Linked DNA regions of Saccharomyces cerevisiae S288C. Each later gene encodes a partner of the first gene's protein in a complex. Each region holds a gene or a part of one and is shown in the gene's direction. Other genes may lie near its edges. The genes, in order: RSM18, MRPS17, MRP10 and MRP2.

Region 1 (3,704 bases):
GAAGAAGGCATCAACATTGAAATGATTTCTCAAGGGGCAAATGAAATAAACATATCCTGCGTTATCAATGAATCTGACTCCATAAAAGCGCTACAATGTATTCATGCCAAGTTACTAAGTGAGCGGACAAATACTTCAAACCAATTTGAACATGCCATTGATGAACGTTTAGAACAATTGAAAAGACTTGGAATTTAAATCCACCTTTCTTCTTCACTTTAATGATAGAATATTAATTTTCCCTTTATATATATATATATATATATATACGCGCACATATATTTACATATATATTAATGTTTTGTAACCTATATTGGGGCGATTATTCCCTAAATGTAATGTCAGGGTTATACTGTATCAATTGCTAAAGTAGATCTCATTCATCGAGAGCATAGGATGAAATAAAAGATACAAGAACGTGGCGGACAAGAAGAAATTTTACGAAATAAGATCGGCTAAAGCTTTCGCTAAATGCTTCTTTGAAGTGAAATTTAACGGCTTGTACTTAACTTCAGGTTTTATAACGTATGCATGAAGTGATTGAATTGCGCAATTAGTGGTCCTGGAAAGCAAATCCCCATCACTGACATCACTAGTGATTTTATTTTTATCAAGCGCAAGATACTCGCATAATTTACCCATCACTTGATCAAACTTCGGGAAGGTAAATCTTCTAGGAACCTTTGTTAACTTTTCAATTTCCACAATTTTAAGGTGTGTCTCCAAATCACGGATGGTTAAAAAGTTGCCTCCAAATACCAAAGAGTCTACTGGTGTATAAACTGCATGAATATATCCAGCTGGAATCATAAACAAATCACCAGCATCTAATTCCATCGCAATACCATCCTCAAGAATATCACCGAGGAAAACACTATTTTGGTCTTCTTTTAAAGACCACTCAATATACTTATCTATGTTTGATTGGGTAGGTGGAAATAATAAAAACTTCTTCTGTCCTGAGATAACGTTATAATAAACAGAGGTACCGGCAAAATCCAAATGAAAATCCGTATAAGCATCCTTTACAGACATCAAAATATATTTGGTCACTTTTGGCTTGGGGTCATTCTCCTCCGCCTTCTCCCCATTGACTTTTTCTAAATGTCCATTGAAACTCCAAATTTTATCAACAAGATCATTCTGCCTAACTGCAGTGGGCCTCTCTAGTTCTAATCCCTCAATATTAGAGACTTCTAATGATATAACATTCCTTATTCGATCCCTCCTGTCTGGTTCAGTATTTGTAAAATATTCATTCCAAGATCCCAAGTTCCAATTTTCATTCATTTGTGATTGAACGTCCATTACATCAACATGATAATCCTCGCCTATCATTTCGGTGATATAATTAACTGTGAGGCATCCATTGTCTGTGCCCACATTCGGTACATATACTCCGCTATTCAGTGGATCGATGATCTTGTACGGCACATCTATATTATCAAACTTTTCAGCAAAGTCAGCGGCGTTTATAATATTTGAGCCATTTTTCCATTTTTCAAAAGATTTCATGAAACTCTCCTTATGAGGGTGATTCATTTTATCCCTTTTCGATTCACCCTCATTCAAAGCGATATAGTCAAGTAATTTCTTCTTTCTGAAATTATACCGCTTATTTATATGACTATCTTCAGGGTTTTCTTTATTCCTTTGCCGCTTTCCTTTTTGTGTGATGAGAGCGTATGCGGTAAGATATTCTCCTTCCTTATGATTAGGACAACGGTAGCTCTTGATTTGCTTCGCAGAATTTGGATAAGACAGAACTTCAGAACTTGTAAGATTTGAATAGTGAATGCGTTTCAAAGGCACGCATTTCACGTGGACCCACTGCGGGCAACTATCACACTTCACCCAAATTAATGCGCCTGGATTATCCTTCAACTGGCAATGCTGGCAAATATTGGGATCTTGCATTGCACCATAGCTTATTAGTATTTTGTTTTATGATCATTACGTCTTCTTACTCATTATAATCACCCACTTCTATTAGATGTTCTATTATGCCTTTAAATTGCATTGTAGGGTAACCTGTTGGGGGAAAAAATATCTAGGATTACTTTACATACTTAAATATGAGTCCATTATTAACAGTGTTACAGTTCTAACCAAAAAGGCAAGGTTCTACACAAAACTTCGGATGTTCAAGATGAATGCCACCACAGGCATAAAAATTCAAAACGGTATGCAACCTATCATCAAGGGAGCAGTAAGCTCCACATTTAAACGTGCTCTATACAATTTCGGTATCAAAGAAAAGAAGAGTGTCAATATTGAAATGGGGAGAACGCAACAAACAAAGAAAATCGATCAGTCTTTGTCCAAAAAACTTCCCAAAGGTACTATCTACGATCCATTTGACTTCTCTATGGGACGAATCCATTTAGATAGAAAATATCAGGCAAACAAGAACTCAAACAGGAACGATATAATGAAGTCCGGTGCAAATCCACTAGAATTTTATGCAAGACCAAGAATACTTTCAAGATATGTGACCTCCACGGGAAGAATCCAACATAGGGATATCACAGGCTTATCGGCAAAGAATCAAAGAAGACTATCGAAAGCCATTAGACGGTGCCAGGCAATAGGATTAATGTGAACTGTACTACACTAATGCTTCTCCACATGAAATAATTAAGAAAATAAGGCATTTCATAGTTCTGTCTGTAAATATACAATATGTAAAAAGAATCGCAATTAGATCTTAAGTTAAACTTATATTCATTCTTATATTTCTTTAATATACCCGTTTTATTCGCTTACTCGAATTTGGATTATGGTAATGATATTCACGCCAGAGGAATAAGCTGAAATTGACGAATAACTTTTCAAATAATTTTATTACTTCTATTATACAACTTTATAAATATCTAAGCTGCCATTTACTTAATAAGACGGGTTAATTGTTTACGCTTCATCTTCCTGACCATCTTCATCACATGATTTGACATCCCACTTCATTTTGACATCCCATCTACTAGATTTAGCGCTCCAGCTGACGTACTTAACAAACTCCAAAACACTTTCATCTCTCAAGACCAAATTGAAAGTATTCCAAGCAGGTGGATCATTAATCAATACTGAATCACCACTGTCATCCGCACGATAAACAGAAGCGTCTTCAACGTCTTCCTTTAAGTATTGCTTATTATCTTCGTCGTCGTCCATCATGTACAATTCGTAACCACCAAGCTCTCCGGATTCCCAACCGGCAGAAGGTGTCAAGCACAAAGTACCTTCCAAGACAGCATCGATTATATCTGGATTGCTTTTCAAAAGTTCATTAAAGCGACATTTGGTGGCCAATGTGAAATCCATTCCTGGCCTAAACCTTCTAATAAGGATTTGCTCACTGACTGGGCACAAAGAAGTTAGAAGAGCTAGGTATTTCTTGAAAATTGTGCTCTTGTGAAATACAGCTAGGTCAATCAACGCTAATTCTGCATCAAAATTGTTTTCCCTACTATTTCCGGAAGCATCGGAGATAATTTTAATTGCGTCCTTAGTAAACTGAAAGTTTGGCAAATCATTGTTATTCAGCGCCTCAAGAATATCAGCTTCTGTTTGGAAATTACGGTATTCCTTACCGTCGATGTACAAATAACGGGCTTTGTGTGGAGGAATAGCCGTTTTCCACGGAGCTTTCACATCTTTTGAATGATAAGGACATTCCTGTTCCAACTCTTTTTGTTTGATAACCT
Region 2 (3,855 bases), on another chromosome or scaffold:
ATTGCTGTTTCGCTATGGTGCATGTGAAAGACTTCGTTCCTCAATATTTCATCAGTACGCTGAAATTCCCTTGGGAAACTGTTAGAATAGTCCTCAGAAAGAAACTGCGAAGAATTTTCAATGTCAAACACTTTTAGTAGATTTTCAACATCAGCTTTTGTAGTTGTTTCATCAAGAGCCAAGGAAATAGTGGTGGTGTCCACGGCAAACAAATTGATATTAAATTCTTTCAAGGCCTTGTCCAATAACTGCTCGGAGGATATGCCATTACCTAACTTTATAGTCAAAGTATCAAACCATGTTTTATTAATTAGTTCGTGAGGGCAACTGTCATTTTCGATGGCATTTGCCAATATTGATGTTAAGCTAAATATCCTCCTGGAAATATTCTGTAGGCCCTTAGGACCGTGATAAACACAGTAGCTCGAAGCAACATTAGCCAGTAAAGCTTGAGCGGTACATATATTTGAAGTTGCCTTATCACGCTTGATATGTTGTTCTCTTGTTTGGAGGGCCAACCGCAAGGCCGTCTTGCCTAAGCGGTCTTTAGAGATACCGACAATTCTACCTGGAATTTTTCTGTTTAATTTATCAATAACAGCGAAAAAAGCAGCATGAGGACCACCATAACCCATTGGGACACCAAATCGTTGAGAGGAACCCAGGACGATATCAGCACCGTAATGAGCAGGTGGTTTTAGAAGTGTCAAAGCCATTAAATCTGAGGCCACAGAGAGCAAAGACTTGTGAGAGTGTAACGCATCAGATAACTGTTTCATCGAGTCAGGCGGTAAGATTGAACCATCTGTCGCTGGATATTGAACCAAACAACCAGATACGTCGGGGTTCTTTAAAACATCCACAGCTTTCTTGATATCCGAACAGTCAACTTCAATAATTTCAATATTGAACGGCTTGGCTCTGGTGTGAAGGACACTCTTTGTTTGCTGGTGTAATTTTTTATCTATTACGTATTTTAGTTTCTTTTTTCTGGAAATATTGAATGACAAGAGCATAGCTTCTCCAGCCGCTGTACCCTCATCCAACAATGAGGCGTTCGCCACAGGCAAACCAGTCAAATCTGAAACAACCGTTTGAAAGTTTAATAGCGCTTCTAGCCTACCTTGAGAAATTTCGGGTTGATAGGGCGTATAAGAAGTATACCATTCTGGACTTTCTAGCAGGTTTCTTTGTATAACCGGTGGTAAAATCGTACCGTAGTAACCCTTACCTATGAAATTTTTAACTTTATAGTGGTTCTTATTGGCAATCTTTTCTAGATGTTGAAGCATTTCTTGTTCACAGAATCCCTTACTAGGAGCTTCTAGTTTCAAGGGTCTTCTCTTCAAAATATTGGGAGGAACGAGCTCTTCTATAAATGCGTTTAAATCGCTATAACCCATTGTTTTTAACATTTTCTTAACGTCGCTAGGAGAAGGACCTAAATGACGTCTAGCAAAAGTATCTAGCGGTCTATCAATGTTTTTCAAGTCAGGATTGAAAATCCTGCTGTACTGTGTAGACGTTATGTCTGTAGCGGCTGTTTTGAGCAAAATAGATTGAGAATGGAATGATCTAGTCCTCGCTAATGAAACATAATTGGTGCTTGACCTGACAGTAGCCCTACAAAGGAGAGCAGTCACTCTTGTCCTAAGCATGTTATCTTCCTGGTATTAGGAAACGTTTTTCCAATAAACTGTGGTTAGTTGATGGTTAGATCGCGCAGCAATCAATACAGTAAGATTGGTACACACGAGAAAGACTAATTCACTGGAACTTGAAGAGAAGAAAATTGTGCCACTCGAGCCTGCTATATATACATCCATTTATATTCGTTGGAGATCTTTCGACTAGCTTATCAAGGTCCTTCACAGCTCAATGCTGACTTCGATGACTCCTCTGAGAGTCATGACTCCGAAAAGGAGGAGTCTATACCTCAAGAAGAGTCAGAGATGTCGGGTAACGATTCAACCGGGTAACATGATTGTTATTTCATAAGATTAGAATTCTGAAGCAATTTGGGATTGTGCCAAACCAATGCGAGCATCAAACTGTTAGAGGAAATCCACAAATAAGGCCAAACAGAAGTAAACTCAGGGAGTTGAATTCGGGTTAGAGATTTCAAAAGTCAAATCAAGATCAGTTAAACTGTAATGGCTCGCCAAAATTTTTTAGGCTTGGTCGTCTCCCAAGGGAAGATGCAAAAGACGGTTAAAGTACGTGTAGAAACAAAAGTCTTTAATAAGAAAATCAACAAGGAGTTATTTCATAGAAGAGATTATTTAGTGCATGATGAAGGTGAAATATCAAGGGAGGGTGATTTAGTAAGGATAGAAGCGACGAGGCCGCTTTCAAAGAGGAAGTTTTTTGCCATTGCAGAAATTATTAGAAACAAGGGTCAACAATTTGCATTATACGAATCAGAAGCTCAGTTAAGCGTTGCAAAAGAAGAAGCCCAAAAGGCAAAAGAATTTTTGGATAAAAGATCAGTGAGGGAGAATAAACTAAATGAAAAAACAACCCTTTTACGTGATATTAGGACCATCCAAGATGCTTTATCTAGCGGGTCAACGCCGAAAGAGTTATTGGAGATTAAACAAAGGTACGGCATTCAAGATTTTTCACAAGAAACAGTGAGGCAACTTTTACAGTTAGACATCTCTGGATTGGAGGTTAATTTGGAGAAACAAAGAAGTCTCATTGATCGTATTCAAACGCGATTATCCGAATTGTTGTCGAATGATCTAAAATGTGATCAATTTTTGAAGGATCATGGTGTTGAGGATCCTTTGACCTTGAAAAAAAACATCAAAAAAAATTTGTTAAGAAAGCACGTCATGATGGATATGCAACAACCAAGCCAGTAAATAAAAGAAAGAGGAAAGCCGAGTGTCATATTTTCTCAACTAAAGCACTACACTCTGTAAATATATACAACTACAAGACTTCGTTACGTAAATAGTAAAGTGTTATGTTTTGACTTTAAAATATTCTAGTGAAAAGAACGATGTTTTTGATTTTCTATCGTTTAACGCATTTATATATTTTCAGGCAAGTGATATCGAAGATGTGAGTACATCGCTCGTCCCCATCGTCAAAAACAAAAGTAAATAAAAGAGCTCTGCTCTGATTTTACAAACAAGAAAATTCCAAGGAAATAGTCCAAGTTTTATATGACCCCACCTCATTTTTTTTTATCTCTCATAAAAAAAAGATGCATATGCTGGATATGTTTGGAAGAATCCACATATGACTCTACATGGCTACAGCACACGTGCGGTTGCAACTTACAAATTCATAAACGCTGCTATATAAGATGGCTCTATCAAATGCATGTTGAACTTTTTCTTCCGAACACAGTGGACCTACCAAAGGATGCTGATTTACCTATAATCACCTGTTTAAAATGTCTCGTTGATGGGCACCATGATTTTATGACGACTTTCTCTCTTACAGAAATATGGGAAACTCGTCCCATTTGGGGGCAAAAATCAGTACCGTTTCAAAATGACTACGTGTTCAATCTAATGTCTCTTTATACCAAACGGGATAATCATCCACCTTATGTGTTAGTGAAATTTGGCGAATGTCCTCAATGCAAGAAAACAAATTTCATAAAAAGACCTACAGTAACCATCCAGTCTTCTGTACTATCCCTGTTTTATCAGTGGCAAAAAATTACACGATACGTGATACCATTAGGGATAACTAGTTTATTTCTTTTAAACCCTGAAAAGACAAGTTTTGACATTGGATTATGGCAACTACGCTGCCTTTTCCCTGAGAATGTTCTACGAAATATGTTAAACATCAGCACTACAAAGGCATTGGACGTATATGCGCAAACTGAACGTG
Region 3 (3,755 bases), on another chromosome or scaffold:
AATGTAGAGGCTTGGCAAGTTTCCCCTCGTGGTGCAGGATGGCTCTTTGGCAGTAAAGTTGCTAGAGAGTTTAACCACGTTAATGGACTGAACCTTATTGCCCGGGCTCACCAACTGGTTATGGAGGGGTTCAAGTACCATTTTCCTGAAAAGGACGTTGTAACCGTGTGGTCCGCGCCAAATTACTGTTATAGATGTGGTAATGTCGCGAGTGTAATGAAGGTCGATGAGGATCTGGAACCTACTTTCAAAATTTTCTCGGCTGTTCCCGATGACTACATAAGAGAATCCACGGCAAACCATAATAATCAAAGAGCCGGCTATTTCTTATAACACGACGGCATGCCCTCCCTAACTCGACGAATAAAAATAATTTTCACAATAAAAAAAAGACTACAAAAATCAGAAACTTTTTCATTACGCCATTTGCTACGATACGATACACAACAAGCACATTCTAAGAGCATTCCATTTACTATGGTCAAAATGACCAAATAAAAAATTAAAAAAAAAAAGAAGGAATGAGAACTAGTAACTACATATTCAACAATTGCAGTTTTCTTTTCCTTTTTGTCCTTGTCCTTTCTTTCCTATTTATATATATATATATATATATATATAATACTACTATGTTATATTACATTATATTATTATCACAATAATTATTACGTTCATCGTGCCGAAACGTCACCTCCCACGGTTTGGATCTATTGAAAGAGGGTGGAATCCCTGATAATAAAAAAACTTTAATCAACACTCGGGAGGGGAAATATAAAAGACTGGCGCTACTTAAAGAGCTGATTCGCCAAGGCAGAAAAGCATAACCATATTAAATCTTCTCCTTCAAAGCTAGCACGCCTTCCAAAATGACCCACAGCTTGAAAGCTCTATTCGCCTTGCTATTTCTTTACACAGCTGCTGTCAATGCGGGTGTGATTGGCATATTCAACGCCCTTCCCCCACCAAACACCAAACCAATTAACGGCGAATCTCCACTTTACCAATGTGACATTCTAGACAAGCAACTTGTGGAAATCAAAGAGGTCAATTTGGACCCTAACCCTCCTGTTCGTGGCGAAAATTTGACTATTTCTGCTAACGGTGAGGTCTTTGAAACTATAGAAGAGGGGGCATATATCGACGTTGAAGTCCGTCTAGGATACATCAGACTGTTATCCCAGACTTTTGATTTGTGTGAAACATTAGAAGATAACGATATCGAAGGCTTATCCTGTCCAATTGAACCGGGTGAATACAACATTAAGAAAATAGTTGAGATCCCAGGCGAGGTTCCACCTGGCAAATATGTTGTTGTAGCAAGAGCTTACACTGAAAAGGATGATCTGATCACTTGCTTAACCGGAGAAGTCATCTTCCCACCAAGGTGATCTGATTCATACAACTCATTGATCCGTGTTTATTTCCCTTCTCGTTCCATGTATTCTTTTCTTTTACCCCATGTTCTCTTCACCCGTTCGAGGCAGGGTTTTTCCTCTTTTTGTTATAACCACCATCTAGTCGAATGTGGTTACTCTTAATATTTTTTTGTCGGCCAATGCTTCAGCGCCTTTGTCAACACCTACTTCTTTTCCATTCCTTTCCTCTAATTAAAAATCATCTATTTAGTGTGTACGTATTAAAAACATGTCATTACATTGATATCTCATTGCAAAATTTCTCCCTTACGCACATCTTTGGTTATTATATATGATGACAGGTTCGTTCTCCGGGTAATGCGGACTTTACATATTAATTCTTTTCCCAGTATTTTAGGCAGAATATAAAAGCTTTGAGGCTTTAAGTGAGACAAAAGTCTTACCATAGCAACACGAGGGCTCGCCGAAACTTCCATCTAAAATAAAGAGTGCCCATTAATGTCCGGAAAACCACCAGTTTATAGATTACCCCCTCTTCCCAGACTAAAAGTGAAGAAACCTATCATTAGGCAAGAAGCGAACAAATGTCTTGTTTTAATGTCAAACTTATTACAATGCTGGTCTTCATATGGTCATATGAGCCCTAAATGTGCTGGCTTAGTAACGGAATTGAAAAGTTGCACTAGTGAAAGTGCCCTCGGCAAAAGAAACAACGTTCAAAAGAGCAATATTAACTATCACGCCGCTAGGCTGTATGATAGGATCAACGGTAAACCCCATGATTAATTTTATATCCAAAAGCAGCAAGAATGAAAACTTGATAATATTAAAGTCATGGCCTTGTATATACAAATTAAATAGTCTCAACGGAAAATATATAAACTTTTAATCTAATAGTAACATCAGCATTTTATTTTCTTTCCTCCGTTAAACCGTACTTAATTCTTGATCCTGCCTGCTCTCTCTAAAGTGTCATCAACCAAATACCAGCCAGGATAGTAATTGTCATGGTATTTGCTGAATCTTTCCTTATCCACCACGGAAATAGGTGACGTGTTTATAGCGGAACTACGTTCGCCTTCTGCGTCCTTGCCAAATGCATGAATGATTTCCCATTCAAAATGCAAGGCTGGATTATTGGAGTCCTTTCTCAAGTGTGGGTTAGGCAATGAGTTGTTAATTCCGCCGATTGATGTGAAACCTTTACCATATAGTCCACAAATTGGCTCATTAGAATACAGTAAGAAACTCCATATATTGGTTAAGTCCCAGTGTAAGAGAGGTTGCAACCTCATAAAATCAGGCCAGTTAGAATCTGTTCTTTGAATAGGCTTTAATGCTTCACCAAATGGGTCTGTGTGTCTAATACCTATCACTATAGCTTCGGTCTCAGGGTATATCTTTATAAAATCTCTAAATGCGTCTGCCATATTGACCGATGCACCAGATTGCCTTTGTGATTCGTATAAGGAAAGGCAATATCGCTCTGAGGTTTCCAGTACAAAATTCTCTAATGTAGGGAAAGTTTCTTCTTGATCAATGAAAACAGTTGGAAGTCTTTGCATGGGGAAGCTTTGAAACTCGAAATCGAATTGGGAATTTTGAGCCTTAATGAAGAAATATTCCCATAAGCAACTCAGATATAACAGTAGTAATACCTGGCAATCTTTTCCTCCGTTGTACGAGAATGATATTTCCCCATTCAGTGGACTCCAACGTACAAAAATTTCACTTAGTAAGTATTTTCTTGTCAACCGTATCGCTTCTTGTGTACTTGCTATTATCTGAGATTTCTGGTCTATGTGTAAGTAAGAGTTTGTTATCTCATAACACATCTCAGCAGCCTTGCTCAACTGCATATTGTGCTCCCCTATTTGTTTATTACTTTTTGCAAATGTTGCCCTCTATACCGAGAAAGTAATATCAGTTTTTTCCACTCTCAGTCAACAAAATCTTTCGAAGATTTTTCGAGGTTCTTTCTATAGACGGATCCTTAGGTTCTTGCTAACCAACGTGTTGTATATGAAACCCATCTCCAAATTTTGAGCTCTTCCCATCCTTTTGTTTCCTCGGACTCAATGAATTTGAAATCTGCCGAACAAGCTAACTAAAAAATAGGAAAATTGGAACAGAAGTTAAATGCGAGCAGGAACGTTTATTAGCGCTTTTAAGTCTAACACATATATATAACACTATTTACAAGGTTTGAATAATTTTCTACCTGTCTCTAGTTAAATTTTTTTTGAGGCTTTTGAGATAATTTTCAACAATTAGTAAGTCATTATTCGTGTCTTTATTCCATAAAACACCTACATTCACTATTTTATTTGCGCTGGACGAAACTTCCTCATCTGCACTGAGCTGTTCTCCTGCTTCAAG
Region 4 (3,740 bases), on another chromosome or scaffold:
AATCCATGCATCTTGCCTCTTTGATATTGGTTGGATCTTCTTATGGCTTCCACGAACTCTCTTGTGTAAATATCTGGATTTCTACCGTCCTCAATGTATTGAACAACTTCCAAGGGAATGTCCACCTTAGACAAGCTGGATTGAGGATCGTTGCTTCTCACGTTCAGCTTGTACAAGCGATCCACATTTCTTTGCAAGTTGGTGATCATTCCCTTGGTGGCTTCTGGAGTACCAGGAAAATCATATATCGAGACACCTAATTCAACGAAGGACTCAATAATCGAAGCCACTTGGTCTTGAGTAGTGGCCAGTTCTTGCTGCAATTGTTCATTGTTAGTGCTGTTTCCATTCATCTTATCGGTTTATTTTTCTATATATTTGCCTCTTTCTCAAACAGGAGTTAGTAGTTAAAAGTACGAAGTTCTTGTTCTTTAATGCGCGCTGACAAAAGAATTGGATAAAAGAGAATGGTGGGGGGACAAGAAGGAAATTTGTCCTAGTTTAACATGAATGGCATCTTGTTACCGGGTGGACATCACCTATTGATTCTAAATATCTTTACGGTTTATCATACTGTTCTTTATTCCGTCGTTATTCTTTTTATTTTTATCATCATTTCACGTGGCTAGTAAAAGAAAAGCCACAACATGACTCAGCAAATCTCGACAAAGTAAAAGCTCATAGAGATAGTATTATATTGATATAAAAAAAGTATACTGTACTGTTTGTAACCTTTTCAATGCTTTAAGATCAAAACTAAGGCCAGCAAAGGTATCAACCCATAGCAACTCATAAAATGAAGACCTATCATTTGAATAATGATATAATTGTCACACAAGAACAGTTGGATCATTGGAATGAACAACTAATCAAGCTGGAAACGCCACAGGAGATTATTGCATGGTCTATCGTAACGTTTCCTCACCTTTTCCAAACCACTGCATTTGGTTTGACTGGCTTGGTTACTATCGATATGTTGTCAAAGCTATCTGAAAAATACTACATGCCAGAACTATTATTTATAGACACTTTGCACCATTTCCCACAAACTTTAACACTAAAAAACGAGATTGAGAAAAAATACTACCAGCCTAAAAATCAAACCATTCACGTATATAAGCCGGATGGATGTGAATCGGAGGCAGATTTTGCCTCGAAATACGGGGATTTCTTATGGGAGAAAGATGATGACAAGTACGATTATCTGGCCAAAGTGGAACCTGCACATCGTGCCTACAAAGAGCTACATATAAGTGCTGTGTTTACTGGTAGAAGAAAATCACAAGGTTCTGCCCGCTCCCAACTGTCGATTATTGAAATAGACGAACTTAATGGAATCTTAAAAATAAATCCATTGATCAATTGGACGTTCGAGCAGGTTAAACAGTATATAGATGCAAACAATGTACCATACAACGAACTTTTGGACCTTGGATATAGATCCATTGGTGATTACCATTCCACACAACCCGTCAAGGAAGGTGAAGATGAGAGAGCAGGAAGATGGAAGGGCAAGGCCAAGACCGAGTGTGGAATTCATGAAGCCAGCCGATTCGCGCAATTTTTAAAGCAAGATGCCTAGATAGATAGAGTACGATATATAACCATATGTATGTGACTAATTATTTATTCCTTAATAACACCAATGATTACAACTTTCTAAAGCTGGCGGAGAATTCGCGCTGTACGAGAAAAGAGCGAAAACAGAGGAATATTCAAACTAAGAACCAAACTGCGATAAAGAGGATTGAAAGGAAAAACGAAAGAAAAGGTAAACTGACAAATATATACATTAACCGATGGGTAATTTCAGATTTCCTATAAAAACCAAGCTACCACCAGGGTTTATCAATGCTCGCATACTTAGGGATAACTTCAAAAGACAACAATTTAAAGAGAATGAAATCCTTGTTAAATCTTTGAAATTCATCGCTAGAAATATGAACCTTCCAACAAAACTGAGGTTGGAGGCTCAGTTAAAACTAAATGCATTGCCAAACTACATGAGATCTACGCAGATCAAAAATAGGTGCGTGGACTCTGGACATGCAAGATTTGTTCTAAGTGATTTTAGGTTGTGTAGGTATCAATTTAGAGAAAACGCTCTGAAGGGTAATTTGCCAGGTGTTAAGAAGGGTATTTGGTAAAAAATTTTATCGCGAAAGTATATATATATATATATATAGGATACGCACTTGTAAATAAATACATGATAATTTTTATTCTTCTTTAATAGATGATAATACTTACTGAGCAATACACTTATATGTAGAGAAGAATAAGATTATACACATACTGGGAGAAAAACAAGTAGCTATAGTTAGAGCTAAAATAACAAAAAAAGGCATACGTACATACAATGAGAAAAGGAATGGGATTGAAAAAGGGCAGTATCTGCCACTAAGTTAACGACTGAGAGATCGAGACACTCCTATAACAAGACACACTTCTTCTTCTTCTTTTCAGTAGTGTTCTTCTTAGCTTTACCATTCGTTTTAGATTTACCCATCAATGAAGCTCTAGTGGCGGCCTCAAACACTTCTCTGACACCATAACCAGTCTTGGCCGAACATTCGTAGTATCCGGTTGCGCCAATCTGGTCTGCTACAGATTGTCCCTCCTGTGATGTAACGGGTTGTTGACCTTCTTGTCTTAATTGTTCAATGGTTTGTGGGTCGTTTCTCAAATCCACTTTACAACCAACAAGAATAATTGGCACACCTTGACAGAAATGTAATACTTCGGCAATCCATTTTTCTTGTACATTCTCTAAAGAATCTGGAAGATCGATAGAGAAACAAATTAATACGACATTGGAGTCTGGGTATGACAATGGTCTTAGTCTATCATAATCTTCTTGACCAGCGGTATCCCATAGCGCTAGCTCTACACGACGCCCATCAACTTCAACATCTGCTACATAGTTTTCAAAGACAGTTGGTACGTAGACTTCTGGAAATTGGCCCTTGGAAAAGACGATTAATAAACATGTCTTACCACAGGCACCATCACCAACGATTACCAGCTTTCTTCTGATACTGTTACCAACTTGTTGTGACATCTTTCTAGTATAATTTTTAAAGTTCTATGATTTTCTATTAGTGCAACAATAAACCTCTAACAGCGATTCTTTTGTTTTATTAATTTTGTTCCTTTTTTGAGTTTTGTAACTTTAAGTTTGGGTTGTTCCAAAAATGTTTTTGCAATACTCAGAGGAATGATCGATGGTCGAAACGATATTAAAGACGAATTCCTGCTGGTAAAATAAATATATACGATTAGGATAAAGAAGTATTTGTATCAACTACTAAAACATGTAGTACCCAATACAAATCAAACAAAAATTGTATAATCTGTTTATTTTTTTTTCTGAGGCGAAGCAAATTGGAAACAACAAGAATTCTTGTATCTTTTTTTAGCCCCTTGTCACGCTGCACGACGCGTAGCACATTGATCGAGAATCACGATTTTATCAGCGACAATGTTATTGGAAATGAGGGAATTATACTGTGTTCTTGCAGTTATCGCTAAGGTTCCATAACCCAACCTCACAGATGAGGTCAGATTTAACTATTGACCTTCTTGAAACCAAATAGCCAGAATTCCATCTTGGTTCGTATTCGTCCTGGCAAGGCAACCTGTCCTTGCCGAATTTGTGAATTGTTTGATCTGCCATTAGCACATATAAAGTTTGTACTGCGGGATCGTAACTAATATCTTGAATAGGCTTGTCCAATGCT

The links.
Region 2: RSM18 (region 1) and MRPS17 share a complex: the UniProt entries of both Saccharomyces cerevisiae proteins name them as parts of the mitochondrial small ribosomal subunit.
Region 3: RSM18 (region 1) and MRP10 share a complex: the UniProt entries of both Saccharomyces cerevisiae proteins name them as parts of the mitochondrial small ribosomal subunit.
Region 4: RSM18 (region 1) and MRP2 share a complex: the UniProt entries of both Saccharomyces cerevisiae proteins name them as parts of the mitochondrial small ribosomal subunit.

The regions. Positions count from the first base shown.
Region 1 is NC_001137.3:252,869-256,572, reverse strand, and holds RSM18 (mitochondrial 37S ribosomal protein bS18m RSM18), read left to right. Parts: upstream 1-2,185; coding exon 2,186-2,602; downstream 2,603-3,704. Other genes in the region: HOM3 (aspartate kinase), read left to right, coding at 1-198; JHD1 ([Histone H3]-lysine-36 demethylase), read right to left, coding at 439-1,917; TPA1 (oxidative DNA demethylase), read right to left, coding at 2,911-3,704. UniProt on the Saccharomyces cerevisiae protein: Component of the mitochondrial ribosome (mitoribosome), a dedicated translation machinery responsible for the synthesis of mitochondrial genome-encoded proteins, including at least some of the essential transmembrane subunits of the mitochondrial respiratory chain.
Region 2 is NC_001145.3:635,303-639,157, reverse strand, and holds MRPS17 (mitochondrial 37S ribosomal protein uS17m MRPS17), read left to right. Parts: upstream 1-2,153; coding exon 2,154-2,867; downstream 2,868-3,855. Other genes in the region: GCV2 (glycine decarboxylase subunit P), read right to left, coding at 1-1,658; YMR187C (uncharacterized protein), read left to right, coding at 3,174-3,855. UniProt on the Saccharomyces cerevisiae protein: Component of the mitochondrial ribosome (mitoribosome), a dedicated translation machinery responsible for the synthesis of mitochondrial genome-encoded proteins, including at least some of the essential transmembrane subunits of the mitochondrial respiratory chain.
Region 3 is NC_001136.10:370,374-374,128, forward strand, and holds MRP10 (mitochondrial 37S ribosomal protein mS37 MRP10), read left to right. Parts: upstream 1-1,874; coding exon 1,875-2,162; downstream 2,163-3,755. Other genes in the region: type 2A-related serine/threonine-protein phosphatase SIT4, read left to right, coding at 1-333; NPC2 (sterol transporter), read left to right, coding at 867-1,388; FAD1 (FMN adenylyltransferase), read right to left, coding at 2,315-3,235; MTF2 (Mtf2p), read right to left, coding at 3,594-3,755. UniProt on the Saccharomyces cerevisiae protein: Component of the mitochondrial ribosome (mitoribosome), a dedicated translation machinery responsible for the synthesis of mitochondrial genome-encoded proteins, including at least some of the essential transmembrane subunits of the mitochondrial respiratory chain.
Region 4 is NC_001148.4:874,689-878,428, reverse strand, and holds MRP2 (mitochondrial 37S ribosomal protein uS14m MRP2), read left to right. Parts: upstream 1-1,799; coding exon 1,800-2,147; downstream 2,148-3,740. Other genes in the region: mediator complex subunit NUT2, read right to left, coding at 1-353; MET16 (phosphoadenylyl-sulfate reductase (thioredoxin)), read left to right, coding at 797-1,582; Rho family GTPase RHO1, read right to left, coding at 2,432-3,061; MMS1 (Mms1p), read right to left, coding at 3,503-3,740. UniProt on the Saccharomyces cerevisiae protein: Component of the mitochondrial ribosome (mitoribosome), a dedicated translation machinery responsible for the synthesis of mitochondrial genome-encoded proteins, including at least some of the essential transmembrane subunits of the mitochondrial respiratory chain.